2 linked regions of the Macaca fascicularis genome follow. The protein of the gene in region 1 purifies or fractionates together with the protein of each later gene. This does not show direct contact. Links are inferred from orthologs where the notes say so. Each region holds a gene or a part of one and is shown in the gene's direction. Other genes may lie near its edges.

Region 1 (3,589 bases):
TCGTTCAAAGACATGATCCTTTTGTTTAAAGGATGAGAAGATTTTTATGACATGTCATTATCCTTTCTTCCTAGTGGATGCTGGGCACAGAGCTGTCATCTTTGACCGGTTCCGTGGAGTACAGGACATTGTGGTAGGGGAAGGGACTCACTTTCTCATCCCATGGGTACAGAAACCAATTATCTTTGACTGCCGTTCTCGACCACGTAATGTGCCGGTCATCACTGGTAGCAAAGGTGAGTCTTGCCTGTGGTTCAGGTAAAGTAGGGAGTGTGGAAGAGGTGCTCTGCTCTTTTGTGTTGCCGGAGCATCTGTGGGATACCAGGATCCAAAAGAGTTTGGACTGTACATCACAGGAATGACTGGACTACTTGCCCTGGAGAGTTCAATATGGAATCTTAGAAATATCCACTTATGGCTGGCTGCAGTGGCTCATGCCTGTAATCCCAGCACTTTGGGAGGCCAAGGCAGGTGGAGCACCTGAGGTCAGGAGTTCGAGACCAGCCTGGCCAATGTGGTGAAACGCTGTCTCACCTAAAAATACAAAAATTAGCCGGTGGTGGGGGGTGCCTGTAATCCCAGCTACTCAGGAGGCTGAGGCAGGAGAATCGCTTGAACCTGGGGAACGGAGGTTGCAGTGAACTGAGATCATGCCACTTTACTGCAGCCTGGGCAACAGAGTGAGATTCTGTCTCAAAAAAAAAAAAAAAGCCTGCTTCTAAACTTCCCACCTCTTTGGGATTTCTTTCTGTACTGTTTTGCAGTTGTTTTCAGGATACATTATGTACCTATTTCTAAAACTATTGATAGGCGCTTCTAGATATCAGGGAGTTGTCGGTATTAATACATTGCCCACCTCTCTTGGTGCACAGTTCAGGGCTCTGTCTCATGGGCGCTTGGTCCATATTGTTGACGTCTGTAAGCAAGCCATGACAGTGCTTTGGCTCCCTGCAGGCCTGAATTGTCCAGGGGAAGGTATAATTCTCTCCCTGGATCCTTTAACTGGCCCAAGTAATGAGAAGCAGAACATAGATGGGTCTATTAACCCCTTATATGTGTTACACATTTGACAGAGTGCTTTTTGACTGTTTTTTCCTTCAGTTTTCCCCAACATTTCCTCAAGGCCCAGAAAGCAAATGAAGTTGTCCTCATTCTCATAGACAAGGAAATAAGCTCAGGTTGGCTAAGGCTTAGAGAGGCCACATCATTAGTAAATAGCCCAGATCTTTGGACTACTAGTCTAACACGGTTTCCACCAGACCCAAACTAACCTCTCCAAGGCTGACTCCTGACTTGGCCACAATCACCAGAGCTTGAAAAGGCCTCACCCTACAATTCTTAGCATTGGCCTGTCTATTGTCTTAAAATGTTCAGTGTTGCAAGCGTTACATGGCGCCTGGTAGACATATAATCTGAATTACGTGTATCTGAGGGCATTCAGGGGATACCAAAAAGCTGCTATCACTGAATGTTCTAAGAAATTATAAACTCTTTGTGATGCTCTGTTGGGTTCTCTGCCAAGGAAACCAGGCATACCTATTCCTTGCCCTCTAGGATCTTATAATCAGCAGATTTGCTTATAAATTGTAGCCAATTTGGAGCCAGGCACAGTGGTGCGTGTCAGCTACTCAAGAGGCTGAGGCAGGAGAAATGCTTAAGCCCAGGAACTTGAGTCTAGCCTGGGCCACATAGCAAGACCTTGTCTCTAAAAATAAAAAATAAAAATTACCAGGCATAATGGCTCACACCTATAATTCTAGCATTGTGGGAGGCTGAGGCAGGTGGATCACTTGAGCCCAGGAGTTTGAGACCAGCCTGGGAAACATGGCGAAACTCCAGCTCTACAAAAAGTACAAAGATTACTGGGTGTGGTGGTATGTGCCTGTGTAGTCCCAACTACTTGGAAGGTGTAGGTAGGAGGATCAGTTGAGCCCAGGAGGTCAAGGCGGCTACAGTGAGCCTTGATCTTGCCACTGCACTTCAGCCTGGGCAACATGTGACCCTGTCTCAAAATACATAAATAAAAATTGTAGCAAATTGGAGTAGGAGAGGCCATATAAAAGACCACTTGTGGCTAGGCGCGGTAGCTCACACCTTTAATCCCAGCACTTTGGGAGGCTGAAGCAGGTGGATCACCTGAGGTCAGGAGTTTGACACCAGCCTGACATGGTGACACCCCGTCTCTACTAAAAATACAGAATTAGCTGGGCATGGTGGCGTGTGCCTGTAATCGCAGCTATTTGGGAGGCCGAGGCAGGAGAATCGCTTGAACCTGAGGTGGAGGTTCCTGTGAGCCGAGATCGTCCCATTGTACTCCGGCCTGGGCAACAAGAGCAAAACTCCGTCTCAAAAAAAGGAAAAATTTTTTAAAAAGCACTTGTTTTCCTACAGTGGTTTTTATTTTTAACTCCAGTGTTTGTCCCCTACCCTAAGATTTACAGAATGTCAACATCACACTGCGCATCCTCTTCCGGCCCGTCGCTAGCCAGCTTCCTCGCATCTTCACCAGCATCGGAGAGGACTATGATGAGCGTGTGCTGCCGTCCATCACGACCGAGATCCTCAAGTCAGTGGTGGTGAGTGAACAGGGGCCCTTAGCCTCAAGCCCAGAGCACCTCCCCAGAAGGGTGCCAGGTGGCAGGAAGCGCTTGGCAGTGGGTTGATTGGGATGTGGCTGCAGTTTCCTGGTTCCTTTTCTGCTTCCTCATTAACCTGACCTGCCCTTCTGCTCCTCCCTTTGAAACTAGGCTCGCTTTGATGCTGGAGAACTAATCACCCAGAGAGAGCTGGTCTCCAGGCAGGTGAGCGACGATCTTACAGAGCGAGCAGCCACCTTTGGGCTCATCCTGGATGACGTGTCCTTGGTAAGATCCTTCGGGAGACGGAGGGGAAGGGGCTGCAGGTCTCGTTAGGTGCCTGGCTCCATTTCTGGGCAGACGCTATTAGGTCCCTGCTTCTGCTTTGCTAGATGTGAGGCTTGAAAACACGGAAACATGTTGAGACGAGGCAGTCTCTGTGGGTTTTTCAGTTGAGGGTTCTTTTGCCTTCCCCCTGCCACACACATTTTTCTTATGACCTCTGGTTGTATCCAGATAGTCCCTAACCACTAAACGTTTTACGTTCTCCAAACTGTGTTACCCAGAAAGTGATGCCTTGTTAACCCTGTTTGACACAGGCAGAAACTGTCTGGTAGAGACCAGAGAACAGCTCGGGTAGTCTTTATCCCTAGCACAGACCTCCCAGCCTGACCCCTGGGAGTTTCCTAACACTTACGGTCCGAAGCTTAGTGATGGAAGTTCTGGGAACCCTAGTGAAAGGTGATAGAGTGTAAACGAATGGTTCGATTCCCCCAGGCCTGGTATAGGGGGCAAGGGACATCTCTGAGGCGTAAGCTATCCTCCTGAGACACTGTAGCTTGTGTGTTTATATGACATTGGATGTCATAACTCAGACAGAAAGCAATACAGGCAGGATAGCGTTTCAGGTTGAGGAGGGTGAGGGGAAGGGTCGTGTTTCTAGATTCTCTGGGAAAAATCATTTGGAGTGATTTGTTCGGGCAGTGAGGTAAAGTGCTTCCTGTTCAGTTCTC
Region 2 (4,302 bases), on another chromosome or scaffold:
CTTTGTGTGGTGTGTGTGTGTGAGAGAGTGTACATGTATGCACACACACAGGGGTTAACCACCCCTCACCTAGGGCTCCAGACTCCAGTTGTCCCTCTCCTCCTGCCTGTGTCTCCTTGCTTTGGGGTCCTGACTGAAGAAGGTGTCCAGGGGGCAGAGTCAGGGCCAAGCACTGGGGTGCCTCCACTCACCTGGCCAGACTCTGACCCACCTACCTCAGCTGGGGTGAGGGGCACCCCTCAAACTCAGTCATGTGGTTCCAAATTACCCCATTCCCCACTCCAGACTCTGACCCAGCCTCAGTCCTGACTCCTGAGGCTGGGCTGAGGGGAACAAGCATTTGCTGAAACTTGAAAAAACAAAGCAAATCAGAAACAGGAAAAAATTGTACCTGGTACTTTTTTTTAGAAAAAAAAAAGATTAAAAAAGAAAGAATAAATTCTTGTTTGGAAACTTGAACTAAGCTCTACTTTTGTTGTTGTTGTTGTTGGGGAGAGGGTGCGAAGGGGGATAGAGGGCCTTCCTGGAGCTGGGACTCAGCCCTTTCTACCAGAGAGGAGGCAACAGGCCTGGGCCCATGAGGTCTTAGGCTAGCCCCTGCTGATTCCTGGGGCCTGGTCTTGCTCCTTTCGGAGGAGTTGGTGGGTAAAGTTGAGTCCTAGAAGCTGAATTCTGAATTGTAGATCAGGATTCTGATACTGGTTCTGTTAATGACTTTAGCCCTTCAGAACTTCAGTGCCCTCATATGTAAAATGGAGGTGACTACGGAGGTCTCTTGACTACCAGAACATCAGGGATGTGTGCAAGGTGACGTGCTCCAGACAAGGTTGAACGTTGAGGCTGTTTGCCGGACTCGGTATTTAAGACCGGGCATAACAAACCTTGCTTGGAAAGAGAGGGAAGGAGCTGTAGTGTCTTTGAGGAAAGAGGGGAGGGGAAAATCTCGTCCCAATCGCCAGGCAATGTTAGGCCCAGTTTCCATGGCAACGGGATTGGGGTCAGTCCCCAGTGGGAGTCCTGGGCACAACACCGCGGGACTACTATAGAATGTCACTATGGCAACCATGGCAACGAGTCAGCTCAATCCACTCGTCGCTATGGTGACGGATGGGCGCGATTCTACGCTCTGGTGGGCAAACTGAGTCTCGGGTGAGGGTGAAGAATTCAGTGCGTGGTGTCTGAGTGATATGCACGCGAAAAATAATTTGGCCATCAGGCCGGGGATCTTGGTCGCGAACAGCTAAACCCAGAACAACGGCAGCCTTCGGCCTTCTCTTGAAGGTCTGCGTTTCCCAGGGAACAACTTGATGCGCCGTTCGACCAAGTAACGCTGATTGGGTGAGTGTTGAAGGGAGTAGGGAACGGCCGGAAGTACATTCGGGGGAGCGGAACTGCAAGAGGAAAGGCTCGGGTAGGCTTCTGGGAGCTACCGCTCCGCTCGTCTCGTTGGTTCCGGAGGTCGCTGCGGCGGTGGGAAATGCTGGCGCGCGCGGCGCGGGGCACTGGGGCCCTTTTGCTGAGGGTGAGAGCGAGGCAACCTATCCAGAGGGTCGGGATAGAGATCACCTGGGTCCTCCGCTGGGAAAGAGCGAACTTCCAACTTTCGGAGAGGACTGGGGTCAGAGGTCATGGTCCCCATGTGATTCTCTCTCCGAGGATCCTGAGGGTCGTGGTTTATGGAGATACCTTCAGGACCGAGGGGCGGCGTGTTTGGCCAGATGGGATCTCTGCTCACCCTCTTCTTTCTTTCAGGGCTCTCTGCAGGCTTCTGGTCGCGCTCCGCGCCGCGCCTCCTCTGGATTGCCCCGAAACACCGTGGTACTGTTCGTGCCGCAGCAGGAGGCCTGGGTGGTGGAGCGAATGGGCCGATTCCACCGGATCCTGGAGCCTGTGAGAACCTCTTCTGCCCATCCTGGGCCAGCCAGATGACCAATCCCTCACGACATGGAGTGTCGGGAGGACCTCTTTTGGGCCTGCCCGCACTGTTAGCTCCCGACTCTGTAGGCCAGACCTGACAGGGCCGAGGCTGCTGACCATCATCCCCATGTTACCACCTTTTCCTATGCATCTCACAGTCCCCATTCTTGGGAATCTCCTCTGCCCACTCTCTCAGCCCTACCTCTCAGTCTGCATTGAGATGGCTATTCTGCCAGCTCCGATTCTCATGACCCTCCCTTCCATTCAGGGGCCTAGTCTTGCATTCCTATTCTCTTGGGTTTTCTTACCAGTGACACTTCAGCCTTATGAGGACTTATTTCTTGGTAGCAGCTGCTGCTTTTCTGGGCATGTTCCATGTGTTGACTCCCTACATACTCCAGGACTAGCTTAGGTCTCAACCCAATAGTTCCCATCCTTCTGAGGACCCATGACTCCTCTTCCCAGGGTTTGAACATCCTCATCCCTGTGTTAGACCGGATCCGATATGTGCAGAGTCTCAAGGAAATTGTCATCAACGTGCCTGAGCAGTCGGCTGTGACTCTCGGTGAGGGGTTCAGGGTGACATGGGTGCTCTGAGGCTATTAGGATGTGGTTGCTGTAGATCCACAGCTTAGGAGAGAGAACTGGTTGGGACCTAGAGGCCTGACTTTCCTCCTTTTCTCTCCTGGTTCTACAGACAATGTAACTCTGCAAATTGATGGAGTCCTTTACCTGCGCATCATGGACCCTTACAAGGTATCTGCCCCCTACTTTATCTAGCCTTTTCAGTTGCCCTCTTCACTAAAATCTTGTGCCCAAGCTTCTTACACTATCCGTGTCCGTTTCAGGCAAGCTATGGTGTGGAGGACCCTGAGTATGCCGTCACCCAGCTAGCTCAAACAACCATGAGATCAGAGCTCGGCAAACTCTCTCTGGACAAAGTCTTCCGGGTAAGCAGATCTGAGCCAGAGTTAGGGTTTGAAGACACAAACCTGACACTCAATCTTTTCTGAAGGTCAAGATCAGTCCCAGGCCCTTCTCAGTGTAGGCCCTTGATAGGTAAGTTGAAGCTGTGGGGCTTATGCCTCTCTTTTTCCAGGAACGGGAGTCCCTGAATGCCAGCATTGTGGATGCTATCAACCAAGCTGCTGACTGCTGGGGTATCCGCTGCCTCCGTTATGAGATCAAGGATATCCATGTGCCACCCCGGGTGAAAGAGTCTATGCAGATGCAGGTGGGAGCCAAGGAGGGGTAGGAAAAGGACCTCAGGGTGCTCCAGTCCCAGGAGGATCCAGACTTCCCTCCTGTTATGATGGGTAGAGTTGCAGGTCTGTATAACTTTCCCTTGGCTTGTTGATTGGGATTGTTGCGGGCTTCCAGGTGGAGGCAGAGCGGCGGAAACGGGCCACAGTTCTAGAGTCTGAGGGGACCCGAGAGTCGGCCATCAATGTGGCAGAGGGGAAGAAACAGGCCCAGATCCTGGCCTCCGAAGCAGAAAAGGCTGAACAGATAAATCAGGCAGCAGGTCAGGAGAGGGTAGAGGCTGAGGGAGGAGCAAGGCATGGGCCTTTGAAGATTGGTGCTGGGGCAGAATCTTTGGGTACTTTGACTTCATGGGTCAAGCAAGCTCTGTCCCTTCTCTTGCAGGAGAGGCCAGTGCAGTTCTAGCCAAGGCCAAGGCTAAAGCTGAAGCTATTCGAATCCTGGCTGCAGCTCTGACACAACATGTGAGAGGCCCCTGGGTGGGAATGGGGGACAGGAATTGACAGTGGAAGGGGTTCTCTTATCTATGCTTAAGGAGAGTTCCTGCCTCTGTGGGCTCTGTTGAACCAGATTACATAGTCCTTTTTATTGTGAACTGCTTTCTTCATTCCCCATCCACCCCTTCTTCTCCGTATCTATAATCTCTGATTTTTATCCCCCTGTGGTCACAGAATGGAGATGCAGCAGCTTCACTGACTGTGGCCGAGCAGTATGTCAGCGCGTTCTCCAAACTGGCCAAGGACTCCAACACTATCCTACTGCCCTCCAATCCCGGCGATGTCACCAGCATGGTGGCTCAGGTTAGAGCTCTCTGAGGACCCAGCACAGAGCACCTGTGCCAGGGACCGAACTGAGACCCCACCACCGTCATCAACACTTAGATACCATAAAGGTCTTCAGAATGCCTTGGCCCTAGACATCCCTTCATTCTTTGTAGAGATGGAATCTAAGAATGAAACATCTCCACTCAGTCCTGCAAATATGGAAGTTCTTGAGATACCTTTTTTTGGTAGATACCTGTGCTGGTATTCTGAGAGTCACTTTACTCTGATGGTTTGTAAGATTCCTAAAATCAACCCCAGAGCTTACAAGACAGGTTTGAGAGAGGGAGAAAGGAAAACT

What was found.
Region 2: the proteins of PHB1 (region 1) and STOML2 purify together in Homo sapiens (affinity purification with western blotting; 3 studies listed by BioGRID, with this or other methods). This does not show direct contact. The link is inferred for Macaca fascicularis from reciprocal best matches to the Homo sapiens genes PHB1 and STOML2.

The regions. Positions count from the first base shown.
Region 1 is NC_088390.1:57,300,777-57,304,365, forward strand, and holds part of PHB1 (prohibitin 1), read left to right. Parts: intron 1-74; coding exon 75-236; intron 237-2,433; coding exon 2,434-2,576; intron 2,577-2,747; coding exon 2,748-2,864; intron 2,865-3,589.
Region 2 is NC_088389.1:64,326,162-64,330,463, forward strand, and holds the start of STOML2 (stomatin-like protein 2, mitochondrial), read left to right. Parts: upstream 1-1,440; 5' UTR 1,441-1,477; coding exon 1,478-1,522; intron 1,523-1,752; coding exon 1,753-1,890; intron 1,891-2,382; coding exon 2,383-2,482; intron 2,483-2,614; coding exon 2,615-2,673; intron 2,674-2,765; coding exon 2,766-2,867; intron 2,868-3,016; coding exon 3,017-3,151; intron 3,152-3,297; coding exon 3,298-3,442; intron 3,443-3,564; coding exon 3,565-3,644; intron 3,645-3,851; coding exon 3,852-3,980; intron 3,981-4,302. UniProt on the Homo sapiens protein: Mitochondrial protein that probably regulates the biogenesis and the activity of mitochondria.